Linked DNA regions of Kluyveromyces lactis. The protein of the gene in region 2 interacts with the protein of the main gene of each other region in a biochemical or structural test. Links are inferred from orthologs where the notes say so. Each region holds a gene or a part of one and is shown on either strand. Other genes may lie near its edges.

Evidence for each region.
Region 1: the proteins of KAP104 (region 2) and HRP1 form a complex in vitro, tested with the Saccharomyces cerevisiae proteins (2 studies listed by BioGRID). The link is inferred for Kluyveromyces lactis from reciprocal best matches to the Saccharomyces cerevisiae genes KAP104 and HRP1.
Region 3: the proteins of KAP104 (region 2) and NAB2 form a complex in vitro, tested with the Saccharomyces cerevisiae proteins (3 studies listed by BioGRID). The link is inferred for Kluyveromyces lactis from reciprocal best matches to the Saccharomyces cerevisiae genes KAP104 and NAB2.

The regions. Positions count from the first base shown.
Region 1 is NC_006039.1:1,093,234-1,096,794, reverse strand, and holds HRP1 (Hrp1p), read right to left. Parts: upstream 2,222-3,561; coding exon 509-2,221; downstream 1-508. Other genes in the region: TRM11 (tRNA (guanine-N2-)-methyltransferase), read left to right, coding at 3,231-3,561. UniProt on the Saccharomyces cerevisiae protein: RNA-binding protein, which is involved in the polyadenylation-dependent pre-mRNA 3'-end formation and cooperates with the cleavage factor CFIA complex and the cleavage and polyadenylation factor (CPF) complex.
Region 2 is NC_006039.1:390,679-395,102, forward strand, and holds KAP104 (Kap104p), read left to right. Parts: upstream 1-1,489; coding exon 1,490-4,144; downstream 4,145-4,424. Other genes in the region: protein phosphatase regulator BUD14, read left to right, coding at 1-1,197. UniProt on the Saccharomyces cerevisiae protein: Functions in nuclear protein import as nuclear transport receptor. Serves as receptor for arginine/glycine-rich nuclear localization signals (rg-NLS) and PY-NLS in cargo substrates. Its predominant cargo substrate seems to be mRNA-binding proteins.
Region 3 is NC_006042.1:903,927-907,492, reverse strand, and holds NAB2 (mRNA-binding protein NAB2), read left to right. Parts: upstream 1-1,412; coding exon 1,413-2,981; downstream 2,982-3,566. Other genes in the region: KLLA0_F09867g (uncharacterized protein), read left to right, coding at 1-852; RPS2 (40S ribosomal protein uS5), read right to left, coding at 3,560-3,566. UniProt on the Saccharomyces cerevisiae protein: RNA-binding protein involved in RNA processing and transcription regulation. Acts as a regulator of mRNA stability: binds the poly(A) tail of mRNAs and pre-mRNAs, preventing their degradation by the exosome.

The DNA.
Region 1 (3,561 bases), about 700 kb from region 2:
TTGGAATTGATTTTGATATTTTTTCACTTTTGCCTATATTCAAAATCAGATTGAGAAGCAACCTAACCTGTACCAAATATACATGAATACTGACAACTGTATATACACACACTGACCATTCGGTGTGAGGTCCAATGTCAGGTTGAATAGTAGTTGATAAACTGTAAGTTTGATTGATATATACTGATTTACATGTTATTATATAAAATTAAGCTTTGATTAGCAATAAAAGTTGAATAAAATTGCGTTGATGCTTCGTGTTAACGTTCATGAATCAGGTAAACAGAGTATGGTAAAATATTGTGTGACATTTGCAGCAAGGAATGTGATTTGATCCGATGCTTAGGAATCATTGCTTTCATTATATTTCTATTATTACATGGTTATGAGAGGCTCAGTTAAAGAAATGGATGGATCGCAAATATAACAAGTAACACAAAGTATCCTCTTGCTCGCGGCTACATACGCAGATTTCTTTACCTTATAATAAATCTAACATACAAGCAGATTACCTGGCGTATGGGTGGTATCCACGTCTATCTCTGCTTCCACCGCCATACCCATTACCACCACGGCGGGAATCACGATCACGGCCACCACCTCCGCGATAGTTTGAAGATGGGCCACGACAGCTGTCACGGTCGCGGTTAGACGAGCCATAACTGCTACGATCAGAGTTGCGATCGTATGCTCTGTGTCCTGAACGACGAGAATCATCACGGCTTGATGAATTATCGTATCTTGAGTCATCTCCAGATTCTACTCCACTGTTACTACGGTTGCCATTATTTGAGCTCCCAATAGTAGTGACACCATTACTGTCGTCGTTGTGTTGAGGGGTGGATGAATGGCTTGGTGGAGATCCTGCACCACTTTGAGAAGGTTGTTGGCCTGCAGGAAGACCGCCCATCATACCCATCATCTGTTGCATTTGTTGCATTTGCTGTTGGAACATTTGAGTATAATCGATACCAGTTTGTTGTTGCATTTGTTGATAATACTCTTGCATCTTAGTGTAGTATTCGTTCATCGATTGAGGGTTGAAACCAGTGGCCATCATAGGATTGAAACCGCCTGCCATCATTGGATTTTGGAACATCTGATACTGTTGCATTGGGTTGCTCATATTTTGTCCCATTGGTTGAGTCATTTGAGGTTGTTTTTGCTTTTGTAATTGTCTAGGTTCAGCTCTCTTGATTTCTATTTGTTTACCCTTGAACTCAATAAATTTGTTTTGACAAACTCTGTCAACTGCATCTGGTGTATCATAAGTAATGAAACCAAAGCCTCTAGATCTACCAGTATCTTTGTCTAACATTAGTTGGGCATCAATGATGGATCCCCATTGAGAGAAAAATTCTTCAAATTCTTTTGGTCTGACGTCTGGACCAATACCACCAACGAAAATTTTACCAGTCTTATCTTGTTCTTCCCTTGGAATGGCTCTCTTTGGATCGATAACCTTACCGTCTAAGATATGTTGTGTTTTAACGACTTCATCGACACTAGAAGCGTTTTCAAATGTCAAGAACCCAAAACCTCTGGACCTACCGGTAGCAGTGTCCTTCATAATCTTAACTTCAGCGACTGCACCGTATTTGCTGAAGTAATCACGTAAACCCTCTTCGGTGGTTTCCCAATTTAGACCACCAATGAACATCTTGTTAATGTCACGAGACAAATCAGCTTTGATAGCCTTTGGTTCATGCTGAGATGCAGTTTGTTGCAATTGAGACATAGTCTGTTGCAATTGTTGCAACTGTGACATATCTGGCATACCTGGCATCTGTGGCATTTGAGGCATCTGCAGCATTTCAGGAACGGAAGCACTGTAGTTTTCCTTGTTATTGTTTTCAGCCTTGTCATTATTGGATGCAAGATTAGAATCTGGTTGATTATTTGAAGAGGCAACCTGCTGTTGCAGTTGTGACAGGTTAGATGACAAAGCCTGTAAAGCTGCTAGTTGATCTAATTGAGATGTTGCCGCGGTGGTGTTTGTGCTACTACTATTAGCCTCTTTATTGGTAGTTGAAGCTTGATCTTTGTGATCATCTGTCGAGCTATTACTAACGTTATTTTGATTATTATTACTTTGAGTATTATTTTGATTATCTGTAGATGTTGCAGTTGATGAAGTCGACTCGTTATTGTTCACCGTGGTTTGAGCGGTATTTTCATCACCGTAGATGTCGTTAAAATCTTCATCGTCTGATAAACTCATCTTGAATGCAATATTTCAATTTCTTCTTATTCGTCTACTTGTTGCACCGTTCACTTTACCACTTGGATTTTCTTAGTTCTGTACACTAAATATGATAAATCTGCAGTAAACGTTTGTAAATATAAGTACGATAACGCTGTGTAAGTTTCCTGCGCCGTTCCTCTTCCGCTCTACTTAAATGATCCTTGTTCTTTTTGTCTGTATGGGGATTTTATAGCTTAAACACAGCAACACACAGCAAAGTTTAATGTTATACGTTAAAAGTAGTAGTAGACGATAATAAAGTAATAACTGAGATCTAATACAGTACGAAAATAAAACAAATATGAGCTATTTCCGGTAACAATGGTTCCTCTCTCCTAGTTTGCAATTTCTAAAACTCTATTGAAAACAATCGGTATCTTATAAATGAAAAGAAAAAGAAAAAATACAGTGTAAATATTCTTTGTTCCGTTGATTATTTCGATTCGCTAATGATATACGGGTACTTCTATACTTTTGAATCCTATATCCTTCCCTAACTCGTTTTAGTGACTTGATTATCTCTTTAGACTGTCTAATCACCTGGAAAGTGGTAAACAAACAGGAAGAAACATTCTGCCCCTTCAATTTTTCTCCTGTACTGCTTTTATATTCAAATTAATTTTTTTTTTTTTCCAATGGCAACAACTTGGCCCCAAAAATTATTCGCTGTTCTTAGTGAAAAATTCATGCTTTAGGGCCTTTTTGGTTGTCATTTTGTCGATTTCGCCTTGCAAAAAAAGAAACTTTTTGACAACTCGTCCCAAAACTGCGCCCAAACAATCAGAAACACCGGGTAATGAAATCCTATATACCTTTCTTTACTCATTCAACGCCGACTTCAGCTAAACATGCAGAGAAAGCGAAATATCGAGATGAGCTGCGATGAGATGAGATCCTCTTTAATCGAAAGTGCGACTTCTCAGTTAATCACTTTTCGTACTTCCGGATTTAGAATTAATACAAACGCCAGTTATAACCATCATCTATGGCTAGGAAGCGGTATCTTTTGTTTATGGTGCAGGTGCACTTAAATTTCCGTCTAGCAGAATTGGAATCACTAGCGGATCTGCATGGAGTTGATGTCGACTTTTCGAGTTATTCTGTCGATTCACCATTCATGATAGTTACCTTGGAAAATGATAAGCAAGCCAGTGATTGGATTAGGAGATCGGTGCTTACAAGAGCCATTTATGAGTACTGGGGTGAAGGTAATACTTATGAGTCGTTGCACAAGAGTGTCCAAGCTCATCCCGAGTTTGAACAGTATAAGAGCGCAAATGAAAGAAAGAGTTTCAAGTTTGAATTTGAAAAGTTTG
Region 2 (4,424 bases):
AAAATAGGATTCGCGCCTGCAGAACTTCTTGAAACGTTTCCTGAAAGGTTAGCTAGACTGAACTGTTGGAAAAACGAAAATATATCATCACATTCAATTTCTCATAAAGAGGATTCAAATTCAAGCAAAGAATCGAATATTTTGAACAAAGAAGATAGTATTGAGGCAGTTGAGTCCCCGTTGAACGCATACTCAAAAACTAATAAATCGGTTAGCTTCAATAATGTTGTCAGTTATGCTGAAAGATATATTGATGAAATAGAGCAAGAACCATTGGAGGACGACAGCGGAGAACTGAATGGTGCAGGAGAATACGTTCATGATGTGGAATCAAGAGACGGGCAAGACGGGCATCTACACCTGGGAACAGATCTTGGAACTCACTTAACACATGTCGATGAAATACATGAAACCCTTCTGAATGATCATTTGTCAGATGATGTAAGCGAAGTTGTAAGTGATGCTGCCTTCAATGTCCATGAAATGGCACCATTAATGGTGCAAAAAAATAGACCTTCAAAACCTGCCTTGACGGATCTGTTGTCAGAGAAACAAAATGATCTAAAACAAGTCTTTCAAGCTCCCACTATGCCAGTAGCAGCACCAAGAGGTACTTCCCAAATGACAAATTCAAATTCAAATTGTTCCATATCTACAATCGGAGAATACTCGCCTTCCTCTTCAGACTGGACAAATGATTCACCTCAGTTGCTAAGTGAAAAGGAATTCGAGAAGTCTAATTTGAATGATCAAATCCCATCTTCCAGAGCTATTCAAGATATATCGAAAATTGTAAGCTCGCAAGATGCGCCTGATTTGAACTCTCTTCATGATGAAGATTCTCTGCAACATAGTGAATCATTGCCAAAAGTAACTCATAATCACCAGCATTCGATATCTACACTGAATGCTGTAGATATCAACAGTTCTGTCGGGACAGAAAAAACTATTGATATTGATGAAGAAAATAGTATCTTACCAGATGAAAATACAAACGCTTACAGCACCGTTCCATCCTCTATAGCCTCAAGTTGCATGGACCATGAACACAACTCTCCATTAATTTCTGAAGTAGCATTGCATACAAGCACTGGTGTAGTAGGGGATTATCATCCAGTGATTAACTCCTTGTACAACCCTATTTTCAGCAAAATAGATGTTATGATGGACAAGATAGAAAACGCCATCTCAAACTGATATTACCTCCATTCAACGCATTATGTAGCTAACTTTTATAGAGACATAACCCAACAACAGCAATCACTATTGCTTCAGTAATCTGTCTGTGCTCATCTCCTGTTTCAGTACCGAAAGAATAACACACGTGACCGCAGTACTGCATTAGACTTTAAAATTTTTTTTTGGTTTGTTAGCTCATCGCAGAGATATCAAATTCACTAAAAACATTTGAGCAGGAGGAAGCACGGATATTGCTGATAAGGAAGTGGTCAGTACCGTGGAGACTCCATAAACAACCTTGAATCCCAGTATGCCATGGTCACCAGATAACGAAGGACTAACTCAACTTTGTTTGACATTACAACATGCTGTTTCAACTAATTCTGATGAGAGACAGCAAGCACTCGATGCATTGGAAACATTCAAATTAGAACCACAGTTTGCCAATTATTTATGTTACATTTTACTTCATCTTGAGGAAATGGATCAGTTAAGAGGTACTGCAGGTATTCTTTTGAAGAATTGCATATTGGGAGGCAACATCGTTGACCTAGGGTATGTCAAATCAGAAATTGTACGCGGGTTGTGTTTGAATAACAAATTTATTGTCAAGATTACTGGTATTGTAATTGCAGCCTTGTATTCTACTTATTATAGACAGCATAGAGAAGATCCTCAAGGGTTAATCACACTTGCACAATTAATTGAGCTCGCGAGAGACAATAACGAGGGTTCTTTGAAGGCCTTATCCAAAATGATGGAGGATGGTGCACAGTTTTTCCAGTTACAATGGTCGAACAATCAGGTGCCGATTGGAGAATTGGTATCGTTGTTTTTGACTTTGATGGTAGAAGGTAAGACACCAGTAGTCAGATCTGAGAGCATCAACTGTTTGAACAATATTATCCCGTTACAGTGCCAAGAATTATCCGTTAATTTAGATACTTTATTGACAAACATCTTCTCGTTAGCATCTAGCGAATCTTCATATTTAGTCAAACAACAAATTTGCCAGTGTTTGACCCTGAACTTAGAGTTCAGACCAGACAAACTCATGACACATCTACAGGGCATCATACAATTCATGGGACATTTGATTGTTAACACTGATAGAAACGATAGTGAAGAGGAGAAAGTTGCATTGGGAGCATGTGAGTTTATACTTGCGTTGGTGTCGAATACAAACGTACCAGATCATCTGATACAACCTTATGTGCAAGAACTTGTTCCACTTCTTTTGACAAACATGGTTTATAGCCAGGAAGAAATTGTTGTTATGGAAGCTTCCAACGGGGATGATGCAGACTCTGAAGACAAAGATGAAGATATCAAACCAGTTTCAGCAAAAATACAAAAGAAAAATGACGATGATAATGACGAAGACTCTGATGATGACGAAAACTTTGATCATGAATGGAACTTAAGAAAATGTGCAGCATCAGTACTCGATATACTTACCGGCATATTTCCGAAGGAAGTCATAGAAACAGCACTTCCACTACTTAGAGAACATTTGACTTCGGATAGTTGGTACATTAGAGAGGCAACAACACTATCTCTTGGTGCTATGGCTGAAGGTGGCATGAAATACTTCGATGGTCAATTGCCAGCGTTGATACCATTTTTGGTCGAGCAATTGAAAAGTCCATGGTTCCCAGTTAGAAGAATGACCTGCTGGACTCTAAGCAGATTCTCCATTTGGATCTTGGATGATCGTACCGAATTTTTAATGCCGGTACTAAATCCTATCATGGAAACTTTACTGGACAAAAAGAAAGGTGTCCAAGAGGCAGCCATTACGGCAATTGCCACTTTTATCGAGAATAGTGATCCTGATATAGTTGGTACAGTCCTATATGAGCCACTATTAGACAGATTCGACGAATGTTTCAGATTCTATCAAAAGAAAAACTTAATCATTTTGTATGATGCGGTCAGTAGGTTGAGCGAGAAGTGTGATCTTGATGAACAAGCTATTACGAAGTTACTTCCCCATTTATTGAACAAATGGTCTGCTTTGGACGACAATGACAAAGAACTCTGGCCACTCCTGGAGTGTTTATCGTATGTATCAACATCTTTAGGCCCCAGGTTCGCTCCGATGGCTATGGAAGTTTACAATAGAGCTTGGAATATTCTCTGCAGATGTGTTGATTTAGAAGCCAAATCACAAGTTGATCCAACGATAGTGGTTCCTGAAAAAGATTTCATCATAACTTCACTTGATTTAATTGACGGGTTAGTCCAGGGGTTAGGTTACGATTCCAAGGCCCTTTTATTCCCAAATCATGATACCAACATGTTTTCCGTCATCTTGCAATGTTTACAAGATCACAGCCATGAGGTAAGACAAAGTGCATACGCGCTACTGGGAGATATAGCATATTACTACGAGAGGCAATTATTTACAAGCGACTTCTCAAAGCGAATGGTGGAAACAATCGGAAACGAATTGATTCAAAACGGAGAAAACCATGAAGCTGTATCTACTGTCAATAATGCTATCTGGTGCCTAGGTCTCATGGCACATAAGATAGATCTGGGCCCTTGTATCATTGAAATAAGTAGGATAGTGCTGGACCTCTTCTGTTCTACTCAGTTGGTTTTACCAACAAGCATAATGGAAAATTTGTGCATCACCATTGCTAGACTAGCTCATTTCCATCCAGAAATCTTCACACAACCACCTTTTGCAGGCGAAACCCAATGGCACAAATGGTGCTCTATAGCCAGTGAACTCACAGATCCAGAAGAGAAAACCGTCTCTTACACCGGTTTCATTAAAATAATGAACTTAATGGATTTCAATGCCCAAGGCATGCCTTCCGACAAAACCTGGGAGCTCTTTTTCAGAGGATTGCAACAAGATGTCGACATTTCCATTATATCAGAGGACCTCTACGCTTTGGCAATGAGGCTACCAGATCCTTGGCAACAATTGTTAATGAACTCCGGAATGTTTTGAACAGAAGAAAAGCATGATGTATAACCGTCATTGTTAACCAGTTACATAACGAATAGGTTACGACGCTCGTATGTGTAGGCAAATAATTTCGATAACCATACCCTTCCCCTCTTCTCCTGAGGCAAAGAGTCGTAGTAAATCACAACTGTCCAGCCGTTGCAATCACGTGATGCAGTCCTAGGCAAGAGCGTTTTCGGTTTTCTCCGAAAGAATACCTTCGAGATGACTGGATCGTACTGATAAAAAAAAGAAAAATCGAAAAATTCCGAGCTGATAAGGC
Region 3 (3,566 bases), on a different chromosome or scaffold from region 2:
TGTACCAAAATAATGAGTGGGAACAACTTAAGTTCTGCTAACCATCTGGATAGCGAGAAACTAACAGAATTATTGAGGAAGAAGTATCCTTTTTTGGTGATGTATGATGGGAAGAACGATGTAATAGATCTTGGAAAGTTTTATTTAGGATTTGCACATTTTATGTCGCGAGAAATTACTTTTGCGGAGCAAATCAGCAGCGAATTTATATTCGCCTTCATGCGAATAGACTCAGAAAGAAGACGTCTTGAGCATGATGACGAATTGTTTTCCAAGGCATCCGATGATCTTTTGGCTACAAGAAGAAATATAAACAGATGGGCTAAAGAGTTAGAAGTGCAAATACTTCCTATTGTACTCTCTGCATACCAAATTCTTGCAGGTGATTTAACTGAGGGAGTAGAGAAGATAAAGGAAGCACTTAGGGATGAAACTTTGGATGGATTAGCCATAAGACTCAATATCCTTTCAGCGTATGCTATCGATATTATTAACGAAGTGATAACTATTTATCCGGAAATGTACAACCTGTCGGTATCTAATAAGAGAAGTCTTGGGGATTACTCTCTACACCTCACATTAGCAAGTCTTCTTTTGCAGTCTCTTCATCTATTTGCCGACCTTTGTGAACGCCATCCGAATTTATACCAACGATCGTTGCAACCTTTCACTTATGAACAATTCCAGATAGAATTGCAGGAAAAGTCGGAAGCAGTTACCAAGATCAACGAGGAATACGAGGAACTTATTAAAAGCATTACGACCATAACATTTAACAATGTAATAAATTACATGAAAGACAAGAAGACAAAACTACGAGACACTTCTAAAGAATACCTTTCTAAAGAATAGATATGAAGTAAGAAATTTCGACGGAATTTGTTATATGCATTGCATCTCATCACGAATAAATAAATTATAGCATAGAATCATTCTGCATTTCCACATGGAAACCCAATAATTAACTCCTCTAAATAATGAATACTTCCCTAGAGAAAGCTACTAGCAGTTTTATAAATATGAGAAAGATTTCTAATGCTCATCAACCACTGATCCAGGTCTCTACCTAAAACTGGAACAGGGTCTATTCACTGTCACTATCATATAGCAACTAACATATAATACAGGAGTTAACAACGAATCACGTGATAGCTCGGATAGCAGAGGACATCGTTCTGATTTCTTTTTCTCCACTCAACCTTCTGCGTAATATTCTACGATATTCCGTATACAGAGCCAAAAAAAAAATTGTTTCGGGCTGGTACAAGAAAAGGAAGAACAAGATTACATATACTTAAAACGAAATTAATTACGAATAATCTGAATGATTCTTTAGCAGTTATTTGAACAAGGATAAAAGCTAGTTTTGTTGCTTGATCAAACTAAAGAGGACACAAACCAAGAGTAGCAACATGTCAACTGTACCTGAATATATTGCCAGCAATTTAAAGACTGTCATCTCCGAGAGATTAAAGGTTGTTCCTAATTTCAACGAAGATGTTAACCAAGTCGCTGAGTATATTACACTTTTAATGTCCAACGGTTCCAGCGGTCCTGATATCGTACAAGAATTGACAAGTTTGTTTGATGGTATTAGTACGCAAGAGTTCCAGAGTGTTGTCTCCATTGCATTTACATCTGCAGATCTGTTGAAAGCAGGCGATGACTTGAACACCGTTTATGCAAAGTTGAGTGGTAATTCATCTCAACCTTCTTCAAGTGCACCTTCTGCACCTGTGTCAACTGGAACCGAAACATCTGTAGGAGTACCAGTACAGTCACCACCCGTTTCTGCTCCAGCTCCAAGTGCACCGGTTTCTGCATTTAGCGGGGTAGTAGATGTGTCTGCATCTAAATATAATACGGCTAACGAAGGGAGGTCTTCGCAACGTAACAAAGATTCATCGGCCCATAATGGGACTTCTAGACGTGGTGGTTTCAGCTCCATTAGAGGTGGAATTTCAAAGAGTGCTGGTGTTACCAATAGACGTGGAGTTAACTCGAGATACGGTGCTAACCAACTGGCGATGGCTCTTGGAATAAATGAATCGGAAGGCGCAAATGAAACATCTGGCCATGTTGTCATCAAGAGAGAAGGCCGTTGTCCTGATTTCCCTCACTGTTCTCTAGGAAGGAAGTGCCCTCGTGGACATCCAACCGTTACGTGTCCAAGTTATCCAAACTGTAAAAATCCACCAGGTACATGCACTTATTTACATCCAAATGAAGATGGACAATTAATACAAGAACTAGAGCGTGTAAGAGAAGAACGCAGGATAAAGAGGGAAGAGATGGAAAAGAAACAACAGCAAAGGATCAGTGGTATTGTTGTATGTAAATTTGGGATCATTTGTTCTAATCAAAAATGTCCATTTGGTCATCCAACTCCTGCAAATGAAGACGCAAAGGTTACCCAATTCAGTTGGTGCGAGAACAACTTGCAATGCACTGATCCGACCTGTAACAAGGCTCACAGTTCCTTATCCAAGATTAAGGAAATAAAACCAATCATACACAAGCCAGCACCAAAACCGGTCATTTCTAAACCTTCTAATCCAAAATTCGCGCCAAGATCGGTTGTCCCATTGGAAGAAAAGATTTTGGAACAATGTAAGTTTGGTCCAAAATGTACCAATAAAAATTGTCCAAAGAGACACGCAAGGTCGTCAATCATGTGCCGCGAGGGTGCGCAATGTACAAGAATAGACTGCCTCTTCGGTCACCCTATCAATGAACCTTGTAGGTACGGGGCTGAATGTAGAACATACGGATGTTTATTCCAGCATCCTCCAGAAAGGGTATTGCCTGAAAAGCCAAAAAAGCCTGATACAGAAAACACCAACGGTATTTGGTTCAATCCGCAGCTGATTGGAAGTGGAAATTCCTCGAGTAACGAGAGACCATTTGCTGTACCAGAATCTAACGTACAGTCAGTTCATGCTGGACAAGAAGTAGATGGCGATGCTATGATGATGAGTTAACATTCCAATCTACTCCGCTCTATTTAATGGTGATATCCTTAACTGTTTTATTTGAATTATTATTATAGTGTTATATCTATTAATTATTAAAAAAAAAAAAAGTCTTAAAAGGTAAAAAAATACTGTAAAGTAATAAAAAAAAAAGGTCAACCGGAAGAAAGACTACTGTAAAAAAGAGACTGGCAGTGTTTAAATTCCAGAAGCCTATTAATATGATTGGCGTATCTTGACCTGTACTCTAATGGTCATATAAGAGAAATCCCTTTTACCTTGATTTTATCACTATCTCTTTTTTTTACCATATGTCTTTTTCTCTGGTTTTTCTTGCTACGAAGTGTATAGGACAGTCATATAGTTTCCCTTAGTTAGTTTGTCACGTATATTGATCATTTATTATGATCGATCCTAAAGGGTTAAGGTCAATTATAATGAGTGTGAATATATATGATATGTAGCTTGTGAAGAGAAGAGGAACAATTGGTAAAATGTCAACAATATATTATTGTTTCAGAGAAAACATACTGACAGCTATAAAAAAATATCTATACAGCACAGTTATAATATTTTAAAGATGACATTTACAAC